Linked DNA regions of Struthio camelus. The protein of the gene in region 3 purifies or fractionates together with the protein of the main gene of each other region. This does not show direct contact. Links are inferred from orthologs where the notes say so. Each region holds a gene or a part of one and is shown on either strand. Other genes may lie near its edges.

Evidence for each region.
Region 1: the proteins of POLR2F (region 3) and POLR3GL purify together in Homo sapiens (affinity purification with mass spectrometry; 3 studies listed by BioGRID and IntAct, with this or other methods). This does not show direct contact. The link is inferred for Struthio camelus from reciprocal best matches to the Homo sapiens genes POLR2F and POLR3GL.
Region 2: the proteins of POLR2F (region 3) and POLR3E purify together in Homo sapiens (affinity purification with mass spectrometry; 4 studies listed by BioGRID and IntAct, with this or other methods). This does not show direct contact. The link is inferred for Struthio camelus from reciprocal best matches to the Homo sapiens genes POLR2F and POLR3E.
Region 4: the proteins of POLR2F (region 3) and MED1 purify together in Homo sapiens (affinity purification with mass spectrometry; 3 studies listed by BioGRID and IntAct, with this or other methods). This does not show direct contact. The link is inferred for Struthio camelus from reciprocal best matches to the Homo sapiens genes POLR2F and MED1.

The regions. Positions count from the first base shown.
Region 1 is NC_090971.1:3,068,643-3,074,930, forward strand, and holds POLR3GL (DNA-directed RNA polymerase III subunit RPC7-like), read right to left. Parts: upstream 2,480-6,288; 5' UTR 2,429-2,479; coding exon 2,306-2,428; intron 2,209-2,305; exon of another isoform or gene 2,177-2,208; coding exon 2,047-2,176; intron 1,949-2,046; coding exon 1,880-1,948; intron 1,791-1,879; coding exon 1,734-1,790; intron 1,659-1,733; coding exon 1,585-1,658; intron 1,425-1,584; coding exon 1,314-1,424; intron 1,220-1,313; coding exon 1,133-1,219; 3' UTR 520-1,132; downstream 1-519. Other genes in the region: ANKRD34A (ankyrin repeat domain-containing protein 34A), read left to right, coding at 6,026-6,288. UniProt on the Homo sapiens protein: DNA-dependent RNA polymerase catalyzes the transcription of DNA into RNA using the four ribonucleoside triphosphates as substrates. Specific peripheric component of RNA polymerase III which synthesizes small RNAs, such as 5S rRNA and tRNAs.
Region 2 is NC_090956.1:9,387,595-9,394,493, forward strand, and holds the start of POLR3E (DNA-directed RNA polymerase III subunit RPC5), read right to left. Parts: upstream 3,008-6,899; 5' UTR 2,878-3,007; intron 1,613-2,877; 5' UTR 1,513-1,612; intron 1-1,512. UniProt on the Homo sapiens protein: DNA-dependent RNA polymerase catalyzes the transcription of DNA into RNA using the four ribonucleoside triphosphates as substrates.
Region 3 is NC_090942.1:58,570,720-58,578,115, forward strand, and holds the start of POLR2F (DNA-directed RNA polymerases I, II, and III subunit RPABC2), read right to left. Parts: upstream 3,016-7,396; 5' UTR 2,941-3,015; coding exon 2,921-2,940; intron 2,766-2,920; coding exon 2,696-2,765; intron 2,479-2,695; coding exon 2,348-2,478; intron 725-2,347; coding exon 653-724; intron 174-652; exon of another isoform or gene 62-173; coding exon of another isoform or gene 19-61; exon of another isoform or gene 1-18. Other genes in the region: C1H22orf23 (UPF0193 protein EVG1), read left to right, coding at 3,493-3,604, 4,008-4,070, 4,605-4,793, 5,266-5,400, 6,612-6,712, 7,025-7,129. UniProt on the Homo sapiens protein: DNA-dependent RNA polymerase catalyzes the transcription of DNA into RNA using the four ribonucleoside triphosphates as substrates.
Region 4 is NC_090966.1:6,514,401-6,521,643, forward strand, and holds the start of MED1 (mediator of RNA polymerase II transcription subunit 1), read right to left. Parts: upstream 3,021-7,243; 5' UTR 2,946-3,020; coding exon 2,918-2,945; intron 1,183-2,917; coding exon 1,076-1,182; intron 246-1,075; coding exon 167-245; intron 1-166. Other genes in the region: CDK12 (cyclin-dependent kinase 12), read left to right, coding at 4,576-5,630. UniProt on the Homo sapiens protein: Component of the Mediator complex, a coactivator involved in the regulated transcription of nearly all RNA polymerase II-dependent genes.

The DNA.
Region 1 (6,288 bases), on a different chromosome or scaffold from region 3:
CAGCCGGCGCGGGGCCCAAACCGGAGCCGCCTGCCCCAGTATAACCAGTGACCCCACACACCGGTGTGGTGGGGGCCGGGCGAGGGCAGGATCAGACCAGGGAAGGTGGAAGGGGCCAGCTGAGCCCTTCCCCTGCTCAAACCAGCGCCGCGAGCGGCCACCCCGCGCCGCTTTGCTCCGGCGCCGCTGGTTTTCGCGCCGGTGCCAGGCCGCTCCCCGCGCTGCCTTCCCACCAGGCTTACGCACGCTTTGGGTTTTTTCCTAGAAGCCGTTAAAAATAGCAATTCTTGGAGAGCGGCTTGCGGGGACGGGGGGGGGGGGTGGCACAAAGAGCCCCCTTCTCCCCGGGGAGGGGGGGGGGTCCCACCTCTACGTGCCCAGGGAGGGGACCAGCGCCAGGGAGCACTCAGGGACCCCCCTGTCCCAGTTGGGGCTGGGGACAAGCAGCAGCCCAGGAGTCCTGATCACCCCCCCCCCCCCCAAAATCCCCACTTGAGGCCACAGCACAAACGCAGCTCAAAAAGAGAGAAAACATCACTTTAATCCAATCCACTAAGGAAAAAAAAGAAAAAAAGACCCCCAAAGATTAAAAAGCAGCTACGAGAGCTGCAAGAGGCGCTTGCTTTCTGGGGAGGGCTCTTCGGCAGCCAGAGGAAACGCTGTGGCGCGATGGCGGCGGCGCCCTCGTCCTGCTGCGGGCACAAGCCCGGCAGCCCCCCCCCCCCCGGGGTCCCGCTACGCCCCCACCCCGGCGCCTTCCCCCCCCCCCCCCCAATATCAAGCTAAAAAACACTTCAAAAGTGACCTAAAAACACAGCAAAAAAAGGGCAAAGTTTGGTCCGAGCTGCGGGGAGGGCTGTGCGCCCACACCTTCGCTGCCCCCCTGAACCCCAGGATGGGGGTCCTGCCCTCGTCCGGCGCGGGGGCACCTCGGTGGTGACGCCGGGTGCAAGGTTTGGCGGGTGGGGGGGACCCAACCGTACGATGGGTGCGGCCGAGCGCCCGTGCCTGGAGCACAAGTGCCACCTGGAGGCAAAGGCGGGCTGGTCCTCAGCGCCGCTGGTGCACAGGGAGGGACGAAGGGCAGAGGAGGAGGCTGGTGACCGGCGGAGGGCCCAGGCGTCCGGGCCGCTCAGTAGACCGCTTCGTCCATGTTGTCGTCGCTGTCGGCGCCGAAGTCCTCGCCGTTGTCGAAGTAGGACATGATGTAGTCGGTCTCCTGGGGACGGGGAGCCGGTGGGCGACGGGGGCCTGAAGCGCATCCTCGGGGCGGGGGGAGGCACCCAGACCACCCCCAGCCCCCAGGATCTCACCTCTTCGTGCTCTTCCTCATCATACTCTTCCTCCTCCTCTTCTTTCCCTTCCTCCTCTTCTTCCTTCTCTTCCTCCTCTGACGTGACTTCCTCCTCTTTCTTCTCCAGGCTCTGGGCGCCGAGGGAAGGGAGACGCCGAGTTAGCGCGCGCCCGCGTTAACCGCGGGGACTCCCCGCCGCAGGGCGGAAAAAAAAAAGAAAAAAAAGAAAAGAGAGCCGCCCGCACGGGACAACCCCGGCGAAGGCCGGCCCGAGCCTTCGGCCTCCTTACCTCCAGCTTCTTAATGGTCTCCTCCTTGTCGAGCGCGAGCCGCTGCTTGCGCTTGGGGAGCAGGACGGCGGGCCCTGCGCGGGGCAGAGGAGGCGGGCGTCAAGAGCGCCCGGCGGCAGGACGCGGCCCGCGCCGCCCGCGATACTCACTGCCCTTGCGGAGCCGCCGCACCCGGATCTTCAGCTCCCGCGGCAGGCGCCTCCAATCTGCGCGGCAGAGCGGAGCGCCGGATGGGACGCCGGCTCCCCTCCGGCCCGCTCCCACGGCGTTTCTCCCTCCTCCCCATCCCGGCTACCTGGGCTCCAGTCGATGGCGCTGTCCACGGGGCTGGACACCTGGTACTTGTCCGAGTAGCGCTCGATGTCTGCGGGGTGGCGAGCGGGACCGTCGGCGGGGAGCCCCGCGGCGGCCCCAGCCCCGGGGTCACCTTTTCGGATACCCGCCGCCGCCCCGGCTCCGTACCTCGCCTCGGCGCCCCCGGCTTCACGAAGTAGGGCAGGTTCTTCATGGCGCCGCGCAGCTCCTGCTTGAGGGCCAGCATGTACTCGAGCTCCTCGCCGCCGGGCAGCGGCACCGGCCGGTACTCCATGGGCTGCGGGCGCAGGAGGGCCCTCAGCGCCACTGCTGCGATGAGCGCGGCAGGTCTCGGCCACCGCTACCTAGCGGGGAGGCGGGTGGGGGGGGGGGAGAGTAGGTGTCCCCCCCCTCCCCGTAGACTCACCGGGAAGAGCGGCGACGGCTGGAGGGTGGGCGGCGGCAGCGCGTCCCCCTTGGCGATGCCCACGGCCTCCACGTTGAAGGTCATCTGCCCGCGGCCCCGGCCCCGGCCGCCTCGGCCCGCCATGGTCGGTGCGGGGGGGCGCCGGGGCCCGGCGGCGGCGCTGCGAGGGGACAACGCTGCCGTGAGGGGGCGGGGGGGGGGCAACGGGGCGGGCACGGCGCGGAGACACACGGCGCTGCTCCCCCCCCCCCCCCCCCCGGTCCCGGTTCGGTCCCGCTCCCGGACACTCCCCCCCACCCCGGACCCGGCCGCACCTGCGCCGCGCATGCGCACGGGCGCTCCGCGCCGCGCCACGTGCGCCCCCCCCCGCTCTCGGGGCACACGGCGCGGAAGGGGCGGGGCTTGTGCGCGCCGCCGCACTTGGGCGCGGCGGGGCCAATGGGAGGGCGGGAGGGGGCGGGGTTTGGGAGAAGGGGCGTGGCCGGGGAGAAGGGGCGGGGCCGAGCGGCTGAATGGGGAGGTGGATAGAAGGCAGGGAGGGGTGGAAAGAGGAAAAGGCGGGTGGGAACCGCGGGAGAGGGGACGGGAGGGGCGAAGGGGGCAGGGAAGGGGCACCCGGGCGAGCGAGGGACCGAAGCGGGGACGGGGATGGAGGGATGCGGGCCCCGATGGGTGAGCGCTCCCCACCCCCTGCCCCACAGCGCCGCCCCACGGCCCCCAAGCCCGCTGCCCCACAGCCTCAGTGCCTCCACCCCGCTGCCCCATAACCCCTAGTGCTGCCACGCCATAGCCCCCTGCCTCATAGTACCCAGTGCTGCGGCCCTATGGTCCTCACCTCGCTGCCTCATCACCCCCAGCCCCGCTGCCCCATAACCCCCAGTGCTGCTGCCCCATAGCCCCCACCCCGCTGCCCCATAGCTCCTGGGCCTGCTGCTCCATAACCCCCAATGCTGCTGCCCCATAGCCCCCAGCCCCCTGCCCCATAACCCCCAGTGCTGCTACCCCATGGCCCTCAGCCCCACTGCCCCATAGCTCCTGGGCCTGCTGCTCCATAACCCCCAGTGCTGCTGCCCCATAGCCCCCAGCCCCCTGCCCCATAACCCCCAGTGCTGCTACCCCATAGCCCCCACCCCGCTGCCCCATAGCTCCTGGGCCTGCTGCTCCATAACCCCCAATGCTGCTGCCCCATAGCCCCCAGCCCCCTGCCCCATAACCCCCAGTGCTGCTGCCCCATGGCCCTCAGCCCCACTGCCCCATAGCCCCTGGGTCTGCTGCTCCTTAACCCCCAATGCTGCTGCCCCATAGCCCCCAGCCCCCTGCCCCATAATGCCCAGACCCACTGCCTCATAGCCCCCACCCTGCTGCCCTATAACCCCCAGCTCCACTGCTCTTTGGCTCCCACCCCACTGCCCCATAGCCCCAGCCCCACTGCCCATGTCCCTCAGCCCCGCGGTGTGGTGCTCCCCAGCCCCATGGTGTCATATCCCCCCAGCCCCACGGTGTCGCGTCCCCCAGCCCCATGGTGTCGCGTCCCCCAGCCCAACGGCGTCGTGTCCCCCAGCCCCATGGTGTCATATCCCCCAGCCCCACGGCGCAGTGCCCCCACGGCAGCTGCTCCCGCCGCCTCCCGCACAGGCTGCTCGGCGCAGCGGGTTCGGCGCTGCCACCGCCGCCGGGTGATTCATCCCCGTCCAGCCTCCCCGCGCGAGCGGCTGCCAAAAATAGCGACGGGGGAAGGGGGGAAAAACCCTCCAGCTAACCTCCCCTACCGACCCCCCCCCCCAGCCGGGATGGCGGCCACCGCGCCATGTCCCCGGCACCGGCACGGCCAGGGCACTGCGCACCGGGACGCCGGAGCATCGCGCTGGTAACGGGGGTGATGGAGGAAGGCAGCGGGGAGGGAGGGCTGGGGAGACCCGCATGGGGCAGCCCCCGCGGAGGGCAGGGCCCCCCCCCACCCCAGAGCTCGGTCCCCCCTTGGAGCCGGCAGCCCCCCCAGCACCCAGTGGGGCTCGGATGCAGCCGGGGCTTTGCCGGGGGCTGCTGTAACCCAGGCTTGCAAATTGGGGTGGAAAAGGTGGGGGGGTTGGCTCTTTTCCCCCCATTTTTCTGGCTGCCCAGAGAGCCGGAGGAGCAGGATGAGCTGCAGTAACCATGGGAACCAGGCAGGCAGGGATGCAGGGAGATGTATAGAGGGATGGGGGTACGCGGGGCTATGGGGGATGCACCCAGGGATGGGGGTATGTGGGGAGGCGGGGGATGCACCCAGGGATGGGGGTACACGGGGAGGCGGAGGATGCACCCAGGGATGGGGGTGCACAGGGAGGTGAGGGATGCACCCAGGGATGGGGGTGCACGGGGAGGTGGAGGATGCACCCAGGGATGGGGGTACACGGGGAGGTGGAGGATGCACCCAGGGATGGGGGTACACAGGGAGGTGGAGAATGCACCCAGGGATGGGGGTACTTGGGGCTGTGGGGGATGCACCCAGGGATGGGGGTGCACGGGGAGGTGGAGGATGCACCCAGGGATGGGGGTACTTGGGGCTGTGGGGGATGCACCCAGGGATGGGGGTGCACGGGGAGGTGGAGGATGCACCCAGGGATGGGGGTACTTGGGGCTGTGGGGGATGCACCCAGGGATGGGGGTGCACAGGGAGGCGGAGGATGCACCCAGGGATGGGGGATACAGGCGGGGGACAGGGGATGCCGGGGGCACCAGCAGGGGACCCGGGGCACCGCGCAGGCAGGGCGTTCAGCCACAGGCAGTGGCAGAGAAGCCCTGGCGCCTGGGGTGCTGCAGGCTGGGCTGTGACCGCTGGCCAGTCCGACAGGGGCATCCGCAGGGGTCGCCCCCTCGTGAGAGCCCGTCGGTGCCCGTCAGTGCCATCAGTTCGACCGCGGCTGCGAGGGCAGCGGGGGGCGGGGGGGGGGCGGGCAAGAATTGCAGCTGGGGAAACTGAGGCAGGGAGCCAGGGCTGCCTGCCAGGAGGGAGCTCTGGGAGCAGCGCATCCGTGCAACGCGGTCCCCCTCTCCACGTCCTATTGCAATGTGTGCGCCGTGCTCTGGGTTCACCAAACCCCTGCACCATCCCCTTTCTGTGTCCCGTTGCAGAGAGGGTGCAGTGCTGCACGATGAGCACATCCATGCGACGTCCCCTCTCCGCGCCCCATTGCAGGATCACCATATCCATGTGACATTGCCTTTCCATGTCCCGTTGCAGTGAGCGTGCAATGCTCTGGGATCGCCACATCCCTGACCCGTCCCCTTTCCGTGTCCCGTTGCAACGTGTGTGCGATGCTCTGGGATCTCCATATCCGTGCAACGTCCCCTTTCTGTCCCCCATTGCAGTGCCCGTGCAATGCTCCGAGATCGCCGTATCTGTGCACCATCCCCTTTCTGTGTCCCGTTGCAGAGAGGGTGCAGTGCTGCACGATGAGCACATCCATGCGACGTCCCCTCTCCGTGCCCCATTGCAGGATCACCATATCCATGTGACATTGCCTTTCCATGTCCCGTTGCAGTGAGCGTGCAATGCTCCGAGATCGCCGCGTCGCCGCCACCTCCCCTGGCCGCGTCCCGCCGCAGTGAGCGCCCGATGCTCCGGGCTGAGCCCCTCCGCGCCCCGTCCGCTCCCCGCCGCCCGGCTCCGTGAGCGTGCCATGCGCCGGGCTCAGCCCGCCCAGGCGCCGCCGCCCGTCGGGGGGCCGTGAGCCGGCCATGCCGAGCCCCCCGCGTCGCCCGGCCGGCCCGGCCGTGCTGCCGGCGGACGGCTCGGCCCTGCTGCGGGCCGTGACGCAGGGCAAATTTCGCTTGACCCGGCTGCTGCTGGAAGGCGGCGCCTACATCAACGAGGGCAACGCGGCCGGGCAGACGCCGCTGATGGCCGCCTGCCGGGCCCGCTACGCCGACCCGCTGGCGCAGCCCCGCATGGTGCGCTACCTGCTGGAGCGCGGCGCCGACCCCGACATCGCCGACAAGAC
Region 2 (6,899 bases), on a different chromosome or scaffold from region 3:
ATCACGCCTGATTCAGACCTTTGGATAAAAAAATGGTCCCTCAGCTAAAGCAACAATAGTTTTTCCTGCTGAAATCAAACAAAGAAGGATTTATAAATTATTTGGGATGACACTGCAACAGTGTTAATTAGTCCAGATCATTTAAAACACCACTCTTCCTCACTGTCTTCTACTCCCTGGTGCCAGCTCGTTTCTTTGCTGGACCTCCTACGGAGGAAGAAAGAGAGAAGGAGGCAGAGTCCAAATCAGCTGGCAATATAGAGCTTGTGAGAGAAGCAAGGGAAGTCATCATCTATGTTCACCCAGGACAGCGGTAATTTTTTTAAAATACACAGTCCATTTCCCAATTTAACCAGCTCAATATACTTCAGAAGATACCCAGGCTTCTTAAAACATTGTATTAGTATACCACACAGTTGTCTAAGAAACCTTCCAGAGACGCTGGATAGACATTCTGGATACAAGTGCTGTTAACACCACTACATGGGCAAATCTCCATTCCAACACCACCTCTGGTGTATCTACACTGTCTCTGCCACCCCAGCTAGGAATATGATTCCGTATTTTTCACTTTCAGGTTCTTTAGTATCAAAAAAGTGCTCCTCCCACTACAGAACCAGAATTTTCCATCTCATCATGCACCAGCGTATCCCTGGCTCTTCCCACACAGCCATGCTTGAAATTTTACCAGTTATCATCTGATGTTCAGATGTGGAATTATGTTGTAGAAATGCAAAACCTTCACAGCGAAAAGCCTGCATCTTCAGTTAACTACAGGCCTGGGGTTGTTCTGGCACAACCGTGAGTATGTGACATCCGAGCGAGTGACTACGAGTCTCCTGCTATCAGACATTCAGTTCTTCCCAGAAATACAAGCATGAATAAGTTATTTTAAAGGAATGAGACTCGTCAGTTCCAATGTTGCTTTCCCCGACTCATGTCTCCTGGGTGGCCTGATGCAGCAGGTTCACTTAAAGCCAGCTTTGTACACAGGACAGAGCTCTGCAAAAAAATGGAACAAGTGCCGTTTCCCCTCAGAGCACAGCCCCAGCTGGGAGGGGGCCCGAGACGCGCGATAGCGCCTGGTAACGCTCAGAAGGGAGGAGGCTTGCGTTCAACCCCCTGTCCCCACAGGGGCATTGGAAATCCCATTTCCCCTGCCTTCTCTGAGCACCAAACGTGCGCTATTCTCGTCTGCCTCTCCGGAGGAAGTTATTCCACTTTGTGGAACAGAAATTAAGATTCCCTGGGCTAGGGAGAGAGCGCGAGAGAGAAAAAAAAAACAACAACCTTGTTTCTTGTCCTTCATCTAAGGCTGCTTATGTAATTTTACATGAAAGCTCTTCCTGAATCCTGCTGTCAGTGGTTAAATAAAATGTCCAGTTATAAAGATCACAATTTTTCTTGTCCATTTAAGGACAGAAAATGACAACAGACCCTTCTATTAGAATACCCGAATGACAGGGAGATACATAGGAAGCCATGTGTCCCAGAACGATTTATAATACTCACGCAATTGGAGGGATGTTACACCGAATCAGAATGAAGCTTTCCTTGCAGGCCTGCAGCCACAATTCATGTCTACAGTCTGTGTAGACCCTTTTCCTCTTATCTACGAGGAATGCAGAAATGAACACCAGAAGAGTAACAGCACGGAATTAAAAGCTACCAGACATCAGGCACGGTCACCTGAGTATTTGTTTAAAATTATCCCTCTATGCAGAATTTTTTTCTTTTTAAAGGGACTTTCCTGGTGTAAATCAATATTAATGCCAATTATTAATACACACCCTTAAACTTAAGAACATCTTCTAGGAAGGCAAGGGGTAAATCTTCTCATTTTTTCTGAGAAGTGATGAACTCTAGGACAGGATGGAAGTGCTCACGAGCTGCCCATGACAGCACCAATTTAGAACCAGTGAAGAAAAAATATTGCGCCCAAAGGACTGTAAAAAATTCAGTGATGGAGCAGATGAATCCTGCCTCTAAGCCTGAACTCGGATGGGTATTTGGGTGCTAGATCTCCCCTTTTTATTGCTGAAAACTTTGAAACAACTGTGAACAAAAAGACTGCAGTCCCGCACGTCACCTGACACAGACAGACTCTTGCCAGACCTGCCAGAACTGCTCCAGCAGGTCACTAACACCTCCGTGTGACGGTACCCACGGACCCCCCCTCCCCCCCGAGCGGCGGCACACGAAATCGAGATGCTCCTACGCAAGGGCAGGCGGCAGCCCGGGAACCGCCGCCCTCTCGCCGCCCTCGGGCAGCGGTCCGGAGGCAGGAGAGGGGCCACCCGCCCCCACATTTGCGGCGGCGGCGGGGGTCCCTCAGCCCGGCCGCCCCCCGCCCCGGCGCGCGCGCAGCACAACGGAAGCGGCCAACAAGGGCTGAAGCAGCTCCCAAACGTTCCCGGCGATCGCGGTTTTGACCCAGTTACCCGCGTCGCCGCCCGCCCGCCAGCGGCTGCGCAGGACGGCCGGCCGCCAGCGCTGCCCCGCCGGGCGCCATGCGGCGCGCGCGCACCTCGCCTCAGCGCCTCAGCGGCGGCGCGGAGCGGGGCGGCCTGTCCCGCCGCCGCCGGGCCGCGCCGCGCCGCCCGCCACCCCCCGCCGCGGCGAGCAGCTGCCGGCGCTTCTCGCCTCCTCGCCCACCCGCGAGCCTCCCGCCCCGGCACCGCGTGGGGAAAGGCCCGGGGCGGCCGCGGCTCACGCCAAACCGGCGCGCCCAGCCCCCCTCCCCCGTTACGTGTGGCGAGTCTGAGGTCCTCAGAGAGGCTCGCGGCCCTCCCCCCCCGGTCCCTCGCAGCAGCCTCCCCTTCCCCCGCCGCCCGCGGGGCGCCGCCAAGCAGCAAGAGGGGCGCGGCGGCCGCCTACCTGGCGGAGGGCCGGCGCGGGCAGCAGGGCCGCCGGTTCCCCGGTGGCGGTGCGCGGCGCTCAGGCGGCGGCCATGTTGGTGTCACTGCGGCCGGCACGTGGGGAGCGCGGTCCTCCTCCTACCCACAATGCTCCGGCGGGCGGCGCGCCCGCCAGGGGGCGCCGCGGCGGAGCGGAGCAGAAAAAAGAGCCGCTGGCAGCGGTGGGATTCGAACCCACGCCCCCGAAGAGACTGGAGCCTTAATCCAGCGCCTTAGACCGCTCGGCCACGCTACCGCCGCGACACCAGCTTCTTCTGCAGGGGATTTCTTACAGACACAGCCCGGTTCTTTGTGCTCTCCCTTTTTTTTTCTCTTCTTCCTCTTAGACGCCCCCACGTTTCCAAGAGCTGGTCCTAGCAACCGCTCTCCTTACACACCATTTACACGTCCAAAACCAAAAAGACTTGTTTTTTTTTTTTTTTGTTGCGCTCCTGTAGCGAAGCCGTGGCTGCAGCAGCGCCGAGAGCTGTTACGGAAGCAGCAGCAGCGAGCAGCGGCAGCCTGCAGCCGCGGACGGCTCCGCGCAGGGGGCAGGGCCGCCGCCCCCCCCCCCCCCCCCCCCCCCCGGGCAGCGCTGAGCCGCCACGTGGCCGCCGCGCGCTCCCGCGCTGCTCCCGGCAGCGAGCGCGCCGGCGCTCGGGCCTCGCCTGCGCACCGCTAAACCTACAAGTTATACATTTTATCTTTTCCTTGCTGCAAAGTCCGAGCTCGCTTAGTTTGAAAAGTGAAAGCTTAGACTTTTAGGATTTTTCTTTTCCCTCGCCGTGCTGCAACACAGGGGCCAGAGCAGCAGGGCCTGGAGGGTTGCACCGATGCGCTCCTCTGCGGACGAGGGGTAGGAGCGCATCTGAGTTGGCCCTGTACCTTATGAAGGTGCCTTTGGGAACCTCTGTCCGCATTTTGCCTGAAGGTCTGGTGAGGTTTCTTGGAAAATACTGTTATTCTTGGCCCTTGGTTAGAGCTGAAGGACGGCGTCCGGGAAAGAATTCCAGCCTTCCCGAAGTAAGGCCGCAAAGTCTTCATGCAGCCTGGTTTAACTCTGTGATTATGGCAGCCCGCTTAAATGGGATAGAAAGAATAAACCTGCCGGAGTACTCCCGAGACCTCAGTCCATCCCTCCCCCCGACCCATCCACCCAAGCCCTGGAGCCTCTGGGCTGTCCCCGGCCGGCCGGCATGGCGCCCGCCCTCCTCGCGGGGACCTCGGCGGCTCTGCAGGGTGGCAGTCCTGCTGGAAACGCCGCTCAGCAACAGCAGCACGCACGGAGTGGTGAGCGGCATCCTCCTCTTGCTGCGTTTTCACACCCTCCGTTCTCTTGATCGGTGAAGGAAAGCCCTGTGCCCAAGAACATTCACCTCAGCCATTTGTGCCGCTTCCAGGCGGTAGGAGCGCAGACCCCACCTCTAGGCTGGCAGCTGGGTCACCGGGTTGCTCACTGGGCCAGCGTGAGGCACGATGATCGTGATGGGATTTTTTTCAATGTATTCAAATGTTCAAATTCAAAACAAAAGTGAATTTACTGGAGAACTCAAATATAGTGCAAGCTACCTGCATAATTATACCACTTTCCTGACAGAGGAGTGTCAGCGAAGAGCAGAGGACCTACCACCCGTACTCTGATCCCTTTCACACCAAGGGCCAGCTGACGTCTGATGGGTGGGAACCCCCGTGAGCCCGTCCCACGAAACATCCAGGTCCCCAGCGGTGGGAGGAGGCACATGAGACACACCTGAGCTTCAACCAGAAAACAGCCCGACTCGCCCCCAGAAGCACCAGCCTAGAATCCAATCAGAGATTCAAGTGTAATCCTCCCTTCTCAAATTCAGATGAGAAGTTCTGATTTGGCCCACCTAAATTATACTTGTGTCTGTCGGGAGTTACTCTACTCACAGAACTGGAATTACACCTGTGGAGAAAAAAACAAACAGAGATTCACATCAGAGCCATGATTAAGAAACGGCCGGTCTTCTTATTTGCACTCTTCAGTTCTACGTGTGTGTCCATCGTTCCCGTGACTGCTGAAGGATGGTATCCCTACTTGCTTTGTGCCTCTTGCCAAAGGCTCCAACTCTCGGTGACACCAGCTATAGCTAAACGCAAGACTGGCAGTGCCAAATTTCACCGTTTTTCATCTTAGTGACACTGGAGTGAATTTGGCTTAAGAGACCCCACTGGGGCTTTTGGGTTAGGAGATTCCATTATCGCAAAGTGTCTTTGCTATAGAAAGATTTCGTGCTGTTTGAACTATACAGGTATAATAAATGATACCTGTCTAATTAAAGCAATAAAAAAGCAATAGTAAGGGCTCCAGTTGCAATAGTTGAGAAGGGCTAGTATCCAAACAGTTTGTTCTTGTACAGAAGAGGGAATAAACATACTAAAGATGGCAGTGTATCGTTAGATATTGTACCCATTACAAGAACTCTCCCACCTCTAATCATCCAGGCCAAATATTTGCTTTTTTTTTTTTTTTTCCTCAGGGCTAGGCAAAGATTGGAGGCATAAAGGTGCCTCTAACAGCCCTGCCAGTGAGCGCTTTGGTCCTTACGTCGTATCCTGTAGTAGTTACAGACGTTGCAGATGTAACAGAATGCAAATAAAACATCACATTAACCATTAGCTGTCTTCAGGAAAACATTTTCTTGGCATGCATCTAGCTATTTCCTCTTGGTTATTTAGTTCTGACTGTTGAAAGTACACAAGATCAGGGATGGCATAATAAAAACAACACAGAGGATTTCTGGGAGCTTGCACTAGTAGGGTTCAACTTTGGCAAATAATAAAAGCAAGAGCAAAAAAGAACCCCCCCAAAGGCAATGACCAAAACTCAACTGAAAAAAGTGACAAAAAATAACTTTATTGACCAGCCAGAATGAATCCAGATGAAGTGAACGACATGACTTAAGTGGTGCAAGCCATCAGTACTCGCACGTCTGACGCACAAACAAGGCTTCCAACTCGCTGTCCTTACCCCAGGAACGCTGCATCTGGGTAAGTTTTGCAGGGCTGAGACTCAAATTTATGTTCAAATTTTTTAAAAATATAATTTTTATTTGTTCATTGTGAATAGATTAAAAATACAGCATATAGCAATATCATTCCAAAAGTCTGTCAAATACATATTCTCTTCAAGAGTGTCATAAAATAAGTTGCGCATATTTCTGTAAACCAGTTTCGTTTTTAAATCATTCAAACTCCTACTGACCGTATAGCTAAATATGATACCACCTTACTACAGAAGGCAGTTTACGTCATTAAAAAAGTAACATTTACAATAAAAATATTAATCATATTTTTCCAAGCATTTACACACCAGGTCTAGAGAGAACTGTCAGCAACTCTCGCAACTACAGAACTTAGCAAATTAAACTTTGTCAAAGAGTTTCAATAATTATACTCAAAGTCCTTTACTCACATTTTGGATGGACACAATCAATCTCCTCTCCTCCCTACAAGGCTGGCAGGGTTGTAACACACGTGCTTCTTTCTTAAAGCAAATCTCAAAGACTTGGCGTCAACACCTTACAGGGAAAACAAATCCTTTGTCTGGGTGTGTTATAGTGCCTGCACTGTATCAGTCCTGCACAAAACCCTCTGACTGTTCAACTGTCTGCAGAGAGGAAGGGCAGGAAGGACACGTTTACCTTTCATCGAAAGCTGCTACTTTAGGGCTATGAATTGAAAGAGCAAAAGGTCACATCCAAAAGAGGCGTTAGGCACCTAAAAACAGAACTGTGGATAGGCACTTAAAGCATTCACATACGTTGCGATCCTACAAATTCCGGTTCAATTTCAGCATCTTAGGTCCAAAGAATTTGAGTACTTTAGTACCTAGCTTATTATCTACCTAAGCCCAGTTGAGGTCTAGAAATCAGACATTCCTCCCTAATGGGTGAAAAGCTTCACCTAGTATCTGACACCCTCTCCGGAACAGGCTCCTCTCCTCCCCAGAAAAAGAAGTTATGAACATTTCTTCCCCTC
Region 3 (7,396 bases):
TGCACATGATCTAGTAGGTCACTGACCATCTTGGTGAACTGTGGACCAGCAGGGAGCTTTGCTGTGGAAAGGTGGGCCTGTAAGTAGTCATCCAGAAGCTGCCTCTCAGAAAGGCTATGACTGTATTTCATCTCTATGCAACACATTCTGGTAACCAGATAAGATTCCCTAACCTGGAGGCAGGAAGCAGAGATGAGTCTTTTGCAATCACAGTAAGCCAAGCATGGAAGGGTGCAGGAGAAAAACATTCTTAACATGGCCTCCACATCACAAACCTGACCTTTATTTTATTTCTGCCAGCACTCGAACATAGGTTTGTTAGGAAGGCTGCTTTGCATCAGCTCCTTTCAGGGAATTAAACTGATTCCAGAAAGATGGAGACGTGGGTTCTCAAGGGAATAAAAACCACTTGGACTTCCAAGTAAAAGAAGTCAAAGTACTGCTAATAATCAGTACTTTGCAAGAGCTCCTAGCATGGGACACAGCAATACCCAAGCTACCTGCAGCTGGGGAGCGGTCCCAACAGGGGAGAGGGGACAGCGACTGTAATACTCACTGTTACAGAGTGAGTGCACAACCTGCATAGGATAAGCCGCTACATGCTAGGATGAGTAGGACTGCTTGACACCCACTGTCAAAATCTGAGACTTACTTGAGTTCTTTCATGGCAATCAGCAAGGGGTCTGTCTCTCCTTCCAACTCCACCATCACAGGGGCACACATCCTGAGTGGAAATAACAACAATCAAATAGAGAATACGCAGAGATGGAAGAGGGATAACTAAGCACGTTATCTATTATGTCTTTCACCCAAAGTTCAGCAAAGTAGGAGGGAGGAACAGCACCTTGGCAAATCCAAGGTTTGCACTTTTATCCACTTTGGGAAGAAATGTCCCCCACTCCAATCTTGTGGTGGCAGGACTGCTTTCACTAGATGCAAGTGGCTATGGACTGAGCTTTTACTTGAATGTTCTTCTTGACCCGTCCCTCAACTGCAGCTGGGGCTTCACAGCTGGTCAAAACCACATCCTCCTGGAGTCCCCCTGGACTGTACATAAATGTGAGGAAGGAAAGAGCAGTTCTAAAATTAATCCAATAAGGAGAGTGGAAACACTATAAAATGGGCATGCCATCTACAGTTCCACCACATTTCTTACTTCCTGACCTGATCTTATTTTCCAGGCTTTACCTGGGGTAAAGTAAGAGGCTGGTTTTATGACACACTATCTCCAGGAAAAAAATAAAGCACTTCGCAGGAAGTTTAACAGCACAGCCAACATGGCTGACTATTATCTGTCCCATTAAGCAACAGCAGCAAAGGAAGCTCACGTTATGTGTGGATAAGGCCACTGGGGGCTGCTGCTGGCCTAGATTCGGTGTTGAAGGCAGAGTAAGTAGCGAAGCCCAATCAGGCACTAGAGCATATGGATTAAAGGTCTGGCACAGACCCATCTCATCTCTCCCATTTTTCTGGCCTTCTACCAGTTGAAGGAATGTGCACAAAACAGCCTCACAGAGTGTTGACTGTGCAAAGAACAGCCTGGCAAAGTGATGACTAAGGAAAGATCTGATCACCACCTACGAGCTTCTAAGTGATATGAAGGAGAAGCATTATTTTGAGAGAGTGCACATAACTAGGATAAGACTCAGAGATGCCTTTTCAGACAAACTTTACCACAGCCTAACAACCTCTTTCCTTGCGGGGCAGTCTTCTGACATGCGTTATTCAAATAGATCCAGAAAGGTAAATGGAAGATGTCGAGAGCAGCCAGCTTCAACAGCACTTAAAATAAGATTTAAGTACAATTACAAATGAGGTCCCATTGATCCAAACGCTGTAGAAACATATAGCTGCAATACAACTGCAGTCTAAAAAGAAGTTGAGATCATTACTCTTAATCCCTACAGCCCTATGAGATCAACTGAAGACATTCTGGAACTTTACTCCCTCAAATCTTGGCTTTTGCTAGCAGATTCCGAGCTTTCCAGCACAGACTGGCTCATCTTATGAAAGGCAGAAATCAGGATCAGCCTATCACATCCCTGTTCTTTTACCTATCACATCGGAAGGTGCACTACAACTGCTGAACACCTCCCTTTCTAGACACAAGTACCATAACCTTAGCTAGGAAAAGATACAGAGATTTCACATGGGACTAAGCACTCAAAGGCTTTGTTTTTCAGTGTCGGCACAGATGGTGGTCCACTAGCTCAGAGATCACATGAGGAACTTCAACAGCTCCAGGATACTTCCAGGAAAGAGAAAAGCAACTTAAATACAGATGGGAGACCCTAGAAGCCCGCAGGCCAGCCACGGTAACAGCTGGGACACAGAGCAAAACACTTACGCTATCTGGAGGGCACGAGTGCCCAGGACTCGGGCTCGCTCATACTTGGTCATGTAGGGGGTGGTAATCCGCTTCTGGTTTGCCTGCTGACGCTCTCCAGACGGGAGGATTTCTACATTCTCCTGCCCTTCCTGGGAAAAACAGACCAGCACAGCAGCGTTACTGCATCCAAAGAGCAGCACAGCCAGGCTTTGGGAAAACACATGACGCCTTTAGGGCCTGAAAGACAGGCTAACCAAGGGTTTTCCACAGAGCACTGCCAGAAGACCTGCGAAGAAGCCCAGCAGCTCCAAGCTGGCTGCGCGGCCGGCAGCCCCGGGGAGCGGCTGCCGCCGCGCCTGCACTCACCTCCTCGGCGTTTTCCAGGTCCTCCAGCCCCTCGTCCTCCTCCACATCGTCGAAGTCGTCGCCATCAAAGCTGCGGGTGGACACGGACGTCGCACAGCGCCCTGGGCCGCCATCGCCTCCTCCTCTCTCTTCCCCCCCCCCCCGACGGGGCCCCCTGTGCCGCCCGGCCCGGCCCCCGCAGCCCCGCTCCGCCCCCAGACCCAGCGCCACCGGCCCCGCGCTCACTTATCCTCGTTGTCAGACATGCCGCCTCCTCCGCCTCCTGCCAGGAAGTAGCAGCCACTTCCGGCGGCCCGCCGTGACGTTACCGGAAGTGAACCGGCGGCCCCGTTGCCGTGGCGACGAACCGCCGCGCTCCCCCCCCCCGCCCTGCCCGTCCCCTCCTTCCCGCCCGCGCGTCGCCATGGAGACGGGAAGAGGGTTTTTTGTGGGTGTGGTTGTTGCTATTGTTTTTTGTTTTTTTGTTTTTAATTGGCTCGCTGGGCTTCTTCCCCTTGTGGCGTTAGAGTGCCGCGCTGTGACGTCAGGCTGGGTCGCGCCTCGGAGGGAAGGTGAGAGGGCCCGGCGGGGTACGGATGCCTCGCGGGCAGCGCCTGTGACGTCACCTGTCACCACGCAGTCCCTGGAAGGGCAGCGCCTGTGACGTCACTTGTCACCATGCTCCCTGGGACGCTGCCGGAGTCCCCGGGGGTGCAGAGGCTGCGCGACGGGACCCCGAACGGCCGGGCCCGGCGGCGAGGCGATGCCGTTGGGGACGTTCGGTGGCCTTGTCTCGCTGCTGTTCTCAGGGCTTCACGATGGCGTCCCGGGAGAGGAGGAGGTCAGCGCCAGCTGCGGCCAAAGGAGCTCACTTCTGGCACCCTCCTGGGACAGCTCAATACAGCCGGGAGACCCAGGAGCTGCTGAAAGGTAACGGCGGCGGGGGGGGGGGGCCTGAAGGAAGTGAAGAACCAGAGCGTTTGGATCCGGTTATTACTGCTTCTATATAGCAACTGTGTGGTCAGTTTAAAAAAGAAAGTCTTTCCTGAAATAAAACACTCCCCCTAATTCATCCCCTCGAGGGAGAGCTGAGAGAGAAACATACAGAGCAAGATGCTAGACCTGGCAGTGAACGTATCTATATATGAGCGTCCTGGTGTGATGTTTCTGAAATTGCAAAATAATTTGATCTTCCCCGCTTTGGATTTTGATTTGTAAGTAGAGATTTTCCCCAGGGCTGATTTACCAAGCCGTTTCACCTGTCCTAGCTGCCAAAGGTGAAGAGTGGAGCCTTCTCAGGCTGTAGTCTTCACAGATGCGCCATGTTTTTCAGCAATGATGGAGGAGTCCAAGCTTACAAGTTTCCAGAGGCGGCACCTGATGGACTGTGTGAAACGTGAGTAACATCCATCTTGCTCTCCACCCTGTGCTGCTGAGTTTGTGTTGCTCACCATGAGACGAAGAACGTTGGCCTGCAGACTAGGTGGATGGGCAAGAAACAAATGAATGGGCAGTACTTGGGAGGAAGTCATGTTCTTGTCAGCATCAGGTCCAGCCTAACTCTCCTGATCTCTGTTTTCATATGTTGTAGTGGAAACTGTTCTCATAGAGAAAACCGTCCAACCTTGGCCTGCCTCTTCCTTTCATTGTTGTACTTTTGCCTTTAAAATAGCAGTAGAGCTGCTGCTGACATTGTGCTGGGCGAGGTGTCCCCAAGGGTCAGTCCAGCGAAGAAAACGTAATGGTGGGACTTGAACCAGTCTCGCTCATGTCCGAATGAACCAATAACTGGGTAAGACATCTGTGGTACTTGGGATCTTTGCTCACTGTACTCCGGTGGATCACTAGGCAGACCTTCTGCTGGTCCAAGGCCATCAAGCCATAGGCTCCTCTGTGTCCGACTTACCAGTATTTTTCCTTTGACCTCCAGGAGGAGATACCCTGCCCCTCCAGTGCAACCCCACATCCAGCAAAGAGCCACAGCCTGCAGAGTCTGCCTTCTCTCCCCCAAAGCTTTGTCTGCCAGGCAGGCTTCCAGCTAAACCACATCTTCGACCTGCCAAGATCTGCCAGGCAGGAGATGCCTATACCAGAGAGAAATTCAAACCACAGGCAAGGCGTAAGTCAGCAAATGTCACTAATAAATAAATCCTGCTGCCCAGTCCCTTACATCCATGCGCTGTTTGCCATCTCAGTAACCTTAGGGGGGTTTCTTAGTTGCTCTTCATCCTCACGCTTTCTGTCTTCAAAGATGCATAAAAAGAGAGCTCTGAGGGAACATCTGTAAACGCTCGTTGCCAACGCCTGCTTGGTTAGGAAGATGATAGGTAATAGGAACTCATGTGATCCTTGCCTAAGAAGGGAATACTATATATATTTTCCAGTTTATAAATGTGAATCAGACCTTTGATGTCAGTTTGGTTGCCTCTTCACTGCAAGTACATCTGTGTAGGGCTGCGCAGTTCAGTCTGGAGATGGGCTGTCATTAACATAATGCTTCCTCTGCCATCATTTGGAGAGAAGCAATGCGGCCAGGCTCCTTCCCTGAGGAGACAGGCTGCTAATAGTTTTCTTTTCTTTGCAATTCACAGGAGATTTGGAAAGGGAGAAGCAAAGACTCCAAAATATCTTGGCGACAGGGAAGGATGTGGTGGAGCACAAAGTGAAGCCGACGCTGGTTCAGGCGAAGGAAGAGGAGACACCTGAGCTTGACCGCTTTGAAGAACGTATGTAAAGGATGCTAGAGTGAGGCACATGGGGAGGCCTGGGAACTCAGCTCCCTCTAAGAGCTGGAGTGGCAGGCCATGTAGCCAGCAATCTGAAGCCCACTGCGGAAGGAGGCACAAAGCCCAGTTTCCAAGAGAAAGGACTTTTTGCTGTGACACTGATCCAGCTTTCCTAGCAGAATTTATACTGCAAAGGTTTGCTGACAGAGTCACGCTCTCTGGATTGCCCATACAAAATCAACTCTGTTGGCACAGGACTACCTTAGCGGTTTGCAAGGGTAACCTCGGCAGAAAGCCCAGCTGCTGTGGATCCTTCTTCCAGCCGGTCTAACTCCATGTAGACTAGGACTTTTGCCAGCCTCAGTGTGGCTTGGGCTGCATTTTCTTTTGCTCCCAAATCAGTGCAGTTACACTAGCAAAGCTTAAATGTAGAGAAGAATTTTAGGTAGTGATGTACTTTGGCCTACAGAGTCTTCTGGGATGGCAAAACCCTGCCTTCTATAACTCTGTGTGCCTGAAACTGCAATGCATGCATGCACCCCAGCTAGCTCTTCCTTAACCAGGGCAGAAGAAAGAATGACAACACGCAGATAATGTGTTTGCAAGGGGTGGTTTGGTCCCTGATGCACGGAAACCAGCGTGGTTGGCTCCACGCGTGCTTTGGATCCTATAAAACTTGTCTCAAACTCACTGTTGTCCTTGACACATCTAAAGTACTCGTGTACTGTGCCGTGTCAGGTGTTGTTTCAGGAACTGGCTGCGGGTCTGTGCTGCAAAAAAGCAGCTGAAGTGCTTCTGTGCATGAGCTGGTCCTGCAACCAAATATGGTTGTGTGTGGTTACTTGGTGCTGCATGTGGACTAGTGAACCTCAACAGATTTAAGACGATTTCTATCTCCATCCACAGACTGGATAAAATGCCTGCAAGCAACAGTGTTGCCTGCACATAAAAAACTAGAAAGTTACTGTTCTGGCAAGGTAGAGAAAGGGGCTGGGGGCGTGGGGGAAGTACTCCTGTTACGTAAAAAACTGCTGAGATGTTTTGGTGACATGGTGAAGATAATTGTTAGAGTAGATATCATCCTTCCCCTGGTGGGACCTCCGTTCCAGTGGAGCTAGGAAGTTGGGGGTTCAGAGCTAAACAGAAAAGTGCTTGCTTGCCTTTTGGCTGCATTCTGTTTGCACGTTATTTTCTCTTCTCCTTGGGCTTAGTGGTGAATGAAGTTCAGGAGAGGAAGGAGTTCCTGGCAGATATGGAAGCTTTAGGACAGGGCAAGAAGTATCGAGGGATTGTCCTCACTGAAATCTCACAGGTACGTGAGGGCCCTGGGGGCATTGGTGCTACAGCATGTAGAGGGAATCCGTGGTGTTAGAAATCTGAGCCCTCTGATAACCAAGCGTGGTGCATGGGAAAGACTGGGAAGAGGCAGAGAAATGAGCGTTCTTTTTCATGGCACGGGGCAGGTGTGAATTTAGGGGACTGGGGGAGAGGGGTTTTCAGCTTTTCTTTCCATGTCTGCATGTAACTTAGTCTAGGGAAGAAGAACCTTTGTTCTTGGCTTTGGCAAAAAAAAGTAGGAGCTCCTGGCATGCTCACCACTCAGGCCTTTCTTTGCGCTTTGCAGAAACTGCGGGAGATGGAGATCATTGACAAGAAGAGAAGCAAGGAAATGAGAGAGATCGCAACAAAAGACTTTCCCATTGGGAACAAATCTGATGGCCATGACTAGGCCCAGAAAAAACACCGGAACAATTTAGTCCCAGGTCTTCTTCCCTTATCATCTGAGTCTTAAGGACTGGTCTGTGTCTGTCCGTCTCTCAAGGATCCCCTTGAAGAGGGGGCAGTAGCACCTGCTGCCTAAAGCCAGAAGGCAGGAATAATTTATGCACAGCCAGTAACAGAAGAAAGCTGTTGCAAAATCCTACGCACGCATCAGATCCCTTCTGCAAGGGGCAGTCTTGCTCAACAATATTAAGGAGAAGAAAACATAGAGGAA
Region 4 (7,243 bases), on a different chromosome or scaffold from region 3:
CTGAACCATAAGAGGTAAGCATGCTTACGTAAACATGAGCACACATACACCAAGAACGCAGAGAGATACGTGCTAGCAAGAACCTTGCTTGCTTTTATGACGTGGAATATTTCCACAGCGTACCATTGCTAAGCAGTACATAAAGTGAACGCACAGACGTACTAACCTTTTAATGCCTTCTGCAAAGTCTCCAAACAGCTCACCAGATGTTGGTGCCCCCCGGAGTTCATCACAACTCGCTTTTCCTTAGTCAGAGAGAAGAAAAATGACCTTTTGATATATATCTCACTGAGAGGGAATTACTGCAATTTTTGCTCAGTCAACTAAGCTTTATTCAGGTAATTAAAGGCAGATTAGACTTCATCCCAAAATTACATCCTCATTTCGATTCCTATAATAACAACAGTATCCATTTTGAAAGCAGGTAACAAAGGCAGGCAACTTGTTCTTTAAGCAACTCGCTCATCTGGAAGAACAGACTGTAATAACTTTTTAATAGGCATAAGCTGAGAGTTATATAAGAGGAGACAGAGAAATACCTAGACGGGCAAACTTTTAACATCTCAGAACAACACATGCAGAAACCTTTGATGTAGCTCTCTCCTGCCTTCTGCTCCTACCTTCCCCCACCCAGAAACTAATGTTTCAAAACCACATTCAACTAAGCCAACACTGAATTCTGAACACTACGGACAAAGGAGTAAATTGCTTAAGAAAATAAAACATCTCGAAACAGCAAGTGGCAGAACAGTTGTGGTTTGAACCGGTGGTGAGAGACCTTAAGTTTGGCCCTCTTCCTGCATTTGTACTGACAGCTGCCCCCTGTCAATTAGGCTGTAAAGCGGGAGGCTGCAACCAGGGAAAGCAGAGGCACTCCAGGCAGACAGGACATGCACATCACTCCCCTGCACGCTGCTGGGCGAGACAACCGGCATGCCTCAACCGCAGTGGCCCAACAGGAAGTCGAGGCTTGGATAAAAAGCAAAGCGCTTTGAAGAGATCTAACAAACCAACAACAGAATCATTACTAAAGATGCTCCTGAAACTCTCCTGCTCAGATTCCAACAATCCTCACCATGACTTGGCGGACTAGCTTCATGGTTTCTGTCCAAGGTCTGTTTTGGTTAAACTTTGCATGAAGTCTTTCTAAGAGCGAACTCATCTTATTCAGCTTCTCTGCTTCTATAAGGCAAATCATAGGAGAAAATTCAGAAGAGAGAGAACTAGATAAAATTTAAAGTTTTACAAATACAACAAGCAGGCAGTTGTAACAAAAACACTTTCCATCTTCAAGCTAAAAATGATTTCACAAAACTTACTTATTGCTGATTTATCACTGGGACCTAGACTTCAAGGTTATATGACATTAAGGATGTATCTATTAAAATATTATAACTAATAGATATAACTATTAAAACCTAGATGATCATCAAAGGTCTAAGGGCTCGTTGGGAGAAGCCCAGTTACTATTCTGCATGGACCCTGAATGAGATGAACGGTTCCAGACGACTAAGTTCTGTATGACAGTAATATGTCAGAGCACTGTTTGGGTTTACAGCAGCATGGCTTAAAGACGTGCTGAAGCTTTTTGAGGACAAGGAGTAGAGAGTGTAGAAAACATCGCATCAGCAAACTTTTAAAGAACAGAGGTTAAGCTTTCATCTCCTGACTTCACCTTCACTGTTCATACTCTTCTAACCCTCCGACTTCTTGCATTGTAAAGATTTGCACTGATCCCTTCATCTCTCACACCCTTAATTAAATTGATTCAACTGCCAGTGCTTCAGAGGGTCGAAAACTCTCTGACCAGACACGTTTTCACCCACCCTCTGTTAGCCTGAGACCAAGGACTGGTGTCTTCGTGCTGTTCTGGAACCAGTGTACGGCTCTATATCCTGTGATCTAACAAAGCAATTGATGACCTGTTTTGCTCTGCCTTCAAGAGTGGTTCACAGCTCAGTACCAGACTGGAATCTAGTCAACCTTTACAAAATGCTTGTCATATCCCACCAACTTCCTTCTATTAGGTATGGTTTTACAAGCTCGTTTTCCTGTATTTTAGAAAGTTCCACTGTTAGGAAAAGTATCTCCCTGATGAGATAAACTGATGAGAGGTGGGAGACAGGGACACTGACTGGGCAGAAAACTATCATCAGGCAGATTAACTAAAAAAATCCAAATTAGAATAGTGTATTTTTGCCCAATGTCTAATAAAAAACACATACAAAAAAAAAGAGACAGTTTCAAAAGTGTTATAATTTGACATTTCTTTTGCTATCTAGGAGACAGCTTTTTCTACAGTTGCATTCTTTGAAAAACCCAACGGACATCACTGCCAAAATAAATCTCTCACTGGCACTGCAGGGTCCAAGGCAAACACAAAGGCTACTAACCGCCATGCTGTGCAACACTGCAAACTTTGTAGAGCTCATTTTCATGATCGACGTGCGTACAGTTCACAGAATTAGCAGGGATCCCCACCAAGTCCCAGTGTAAAACATAACTAAACGTTTGTCAGATGTTTCCAGGCACTTTATACCTCTCAGTTACACTAGGGACAAGGGGATTTTTTTTGCCAGAGTGCAGCGCAGTCAGAGCTTCCCTTGGATGTTTGCCCTTATACCCTTCAAAAATGGAACAAGCCCTGCAGCCGGCGCGGGGAGGCCCAAGGGGTGCGTTACATGCACTACGGCGGGGAAAGCCCGGGGCGGTGCCGCCGGCCGAGGGGTCCTCGCCCCTCACGGCGGGCCGCAGCCGCGGTACCACCTCTCGGGGGGGGGGAGGGGGGGAGATACACGACACCTACGGCCTAACCCGGGGCGGAGACACCGGGAGCCCCTCGCCGGGCGGCCGGGCCCCGCGGCTCCTCACAGGGCCGGCCCGGCGCCCTCGGCCGCGCCCCTCAGGCGGCACTCACCCTCAGCGCCGCCCGGCGCCGCCTTCATGGCGCGGCTGGGGACGGGCGGCCCCGAGCGGGCCGCGGCACCGGCCTCGCGTCGGGTGGGCGGCGGCGGCCGGGCCCCTCCGCGCCGGCCTCACTCGGCGGCCGCCGCCATCCCAACGGCCGCGGCTGCGCTGCGGGCGGGCCGGCGCGCGGCGCTCCCGCCCTCTCGCGAGAGGGCGGCCGCGTCCTCTCGCGAGAGCCGGGAAAGCAGGGGAGGGGGAGGGAAGAGGCGCGCGCGCCGCGATCTCGCGAGAGCGGGAGGGGGGAAAGGGGCGTGGCCCGCGGGAGCCCCGCCCTCCCCTTTCAGCGCGGCGGCGTTCGCCGGCTTCCCGCAGCCCGGCAGGGCCCGGCGGCCAGCGGCAGCCCGCTCACAGCCGCGGCCGAGCCGCCTTTACGGCTCCCTCTGTGAGGCTCTACCTGCCGGACGATGGAGCTGGCCGCCTCGCTGCCAGGCCGCGGCGGTGCACCGGCTCCCCGGGCCCGCGGGGCGGCCGCCTTGCCCGCATCTTCCCCCGGCCGGCGCTGCCGAGAGGCGGAGCCGTAACCCCCGGCGTTCGGCCTGGTCGCGTAGGGGCGAAGGCGCAAAGCCCAGAGCGAGCCTCAGAGCAGCGCCGCGTTCGCCAGCCGAGCTCGGGCGGGTTTCCGTGAACTTTGAGCCCCCTGTGAAACTTCTCCCCCAGGCCCCGAGCCACTGGCAGAGCTGAGGCCCGGTCACCTCCCCCCTCAGCGGGCGGCTGGGCCGCGGCGCTTCGAGAACGGGTCCGTGTCCCGGGGCGGCCGCCGCCTGAGGCAAAGGGGGCGGCCATGGCCGCCCCGCGCGCCCTTATAAAGTTTTGTTGAAAGTGCGCGGCCGGGGGGGGGGAGGGGGGTTGTCCGCTCTCGGGGCCCCAATAAAGTTTCATTCGACGCCGGCGAGCGCGTCATCGGCAGAACTCTCGCGAGAGGAGGAACGCGCCCCGCTTCCCTTCCCTCCCCCCCTCTCCCCGCCCCTTCCGGCAGCTCTCGCGGGATCGGCGGCAGCGGCGGCGGGGCGGAGGGCGGCGGCGTTCTCGCGAGAGGCGGCGGGCTCTCGCGAGATTTGGCGGGCGCCCCCCCCCCCCCCTTGGACGCGGTGCCGTTTCGCTTTGGGAAGTGAGCGGGGGGCGCGGCGGGCCGAGCCGGGCCGGGCCGGGCACGCGGCGGCGCGGGGCGGCGGCGGCGAGGGGCGGCCTTCCGCCTCGGCGGCGGGGCGAGGGGCCGGCGCGGCGGGGCCCGGTGCTGAGGCGGCGGGAGGGGGAAGGAGGGAGGGATCTTGGGCCCAGGCCCCGCCTTCCCGGGGCGCCCCCGCGGCGGCGCTGCCCTCCGGGCCTGGGCCCCTCGGGTGAGGCGGTGAGGCCGGTGCCCTTCCGCCGCCGGTTCCCCCTTCCGCCTCCTCCTCCGCCTCCTCCTTCTCCTCTGCCGCCGCGGGGCCGAGCTCGCCGGCCCGCTCCCCATGTAAGGGGTGGGGGGTGTTGGCGGCAGGGAGGGCCGAGGCGGGGGGCGACGCTGCTCTGAATGGTGGGAGGGGAGGGAGCTGGGTGCTGAGGGAGTTTAAAGTTTGGGGGTTTTGGAGGATTCCCCCCCTCCCCTCTTTCAAGCACAGTGGAGGAGGAATGCCAAATCCGGAGAGACATGGGGGCAAGAAGGACGGGGGCGGTGGGGGGTCCTCGCAGCACGCGCCTGGCAGCGGCAGTTCGAACAGCAAGGAGAGGCATCGGCTGGCCTCCAGGCACAAGAGGCATAAGTCCAGGCACTCCAAGGAGTCACCGCTGGCAGCCCAAGAGACTGCGGCACCCTTGGGCGCAATGATCAAGCCGCTGGTGGAGTACGACGACATCAGTTCAGATTCGGATACCTTCTCGGATGATGTGGCCCTCAAGCTGGACAGGAGGGAGAACGAGGAAAGGAAAGCGGACAGGAGCGAAAGGATACAGAAGCACCGGCACCACCAGCACAAGCGCATTCGTGAGCTGATGAAGAGCAAGCAGGCGGAGAAGGAGAGGAAGTTAGAAAAGAGCCTGGAGGCATCTAGCAGGTCAGGGTCCACCAAGGACAGACTATCAGGATCCTCCAAGAGACTCCTCGATGACAACGAGGAGCACCCCAAGTCACTGTCTTCGAAGAGTAGCAACAAGGAGTCTCGGTCAGCCAAAGCGCACAAGGAGAAATCCAGGAAGGATCGAGAACTCAAGTCCAGCCACAAAGAGCGCAGTAAAAGCCACCGGAAAAGGGATGCTCCAAAAAGTTATAAAACAATTGACAGTCCGAAGCGGAAATCCAGAAGTCCTCACAGAAAATGGTCTGACAGCCCTAAATTGGATGACAGCCCCTCAGGAGCCTCCTACATCCAGGAGTATGATATCAGCCCTCCCCGGTCTCATACATCCAGTAACTATGATTCTTACAAGAAGAGCCCCGGCGGCTCATCACGCAGGCAGTCGATCAGCCCGCCCTACAAGGAGCCTGTGGCCTACCAGTCGAACACTCGCTCTCCCAGCCCTTACAGCCGGAGACAGAGGTCTATAAGTCCCTATAACAGGAGGCGCTCCTCAAGCTACGAGAGAGGAAGCGGGTCGTACAGCGGGAGGTCGCCCAGCCCGTATGGCCGAAGGCGCTCGAGCAGCCCTTTTGTTGCGAAGCGGTCTGTGAGCCGAAGTCCGATAGCCAGGTGCGTGACCTCTGTGTTGCCTTCGTTGGCTGGGCGATGGGGAAGGAAAAGTGGAATGGGGAAGGAGGAAGTATCTAGGGGTGGTCGGGGTGGCTCTGGGAATGTGGAAATTAACCCCCTTTGTCATCTAGATCTGACCCAGATCACTCTGTGCTGTGGCTGCGTTATTTGGCCGCAGAGTGACTGACTTTGGTGAGGTTCGCTGCAATTCTCTTTAAAATGGTGTTCACACCTTAGAAAACACCTCCCTCACTGGCACTAAGCAGCGTCCATGTTGGCTCTCAGCAGAGAGGCCTAGGACTGAATGAGCTCTTGGGATTAAATTACACTTACCTCTAGAGGTGGCCCCCTGCGGAAGGGAGCGAAGGGGAGCAGGGAGCTGCATGTCCACTGGAGACAGAGCTTTTCAACTCCTGAGGCACTTCAGTGGTGTGAATTTCAGTTAGGAAGAATGTTTTCACTTATTTCTGGAACCCTTTAGCTTTTTGCTGGATGTGGAAACTTGCTCACGCTTTTCAGGAGGGTGGCTTTTGTTCTGAGTATATTTTACTCTTTCTAAACTGACTTATTTTTTTTCTTTCTTTCCTTGAATTAAAGATGACCATGTTTAAACTGCATCTTTCTAGCCTAGACTTTATCAGTAATGGAGTTACTTGCTTCCATATTCTGAAATCAGGGCATTCTGGAAGGGCAAGTAGGAAGCAGCTGTATTCTTGGCTTAATTATAATTTTCTTTCTCTTCCCCCCCCCCCCACTCTCTCCTTAGTCAGAAATCTTGCTACAGAAGGAAACTATTACTTGAAAGTGGTGCTAACTCTGTGTTTTGTTTCAGATGTTTATTAACCATCCTGTTATGTGCACAAATACGTAGTCTAATGCTGATTCTCTTTTCTAGCTTCAGCTTAGGTTGAACAAGTTTCCAGTTTTCACTGTGTGTGCTGTGGAGCTTTGGTTGTAGCTCCATGGCAATTAAGATCTGACCTGGAACGTAATAACTATTGAAATGCTCTGTACTGTGTTGGCTGTGCTGCATCCTTTGGTCCAAATAGGAGCTGTGAGAGAAGAGTCTGCCTGCAGAACTTAGTTACATCATCAATAGTTCCCAGAGAACTTGGTGATTTTGGAATTTGGGCTTTATTACTAGAGCTCCTCTCTTAACTTCAGAGACTGCTATGTTCTGGGGTTGAAACATCGCCTTTCTCCTCACTGTATGAGCAGTGTATTGTTTAGTATCCTGGAAGCTGTTATATAAAATCTGCTGTGTAAAATCGTAGAATAAGCAAATAAGTAGAAATAAGCGAAAGTTACCCTGCCTTTCCTTCAGCCAGCTGAGTCCAGGCCTGTTTCTCCCTCCCCGTTTTCTGTGCGTATACATGAGAGATGTTGAGAGGGAGTCTTTGATGGCTTTCTTTTCCCTCCCCTCAATTCTTTTTGCCTTAATAGCACTGCTCTTACAGGTTATTTGGTAATGCTTTGTGCAAGAGTAAGAACAAAGTGGTAGAAACTTATGTACGGTATGTGATGTAATAGCGTATATGGGATCTGCTAAGTTTCCGTGCTCGGCTGTAACCAGGGAGAAACTGCTTGGGGAGTGAAGTGATATACTAAAAGGT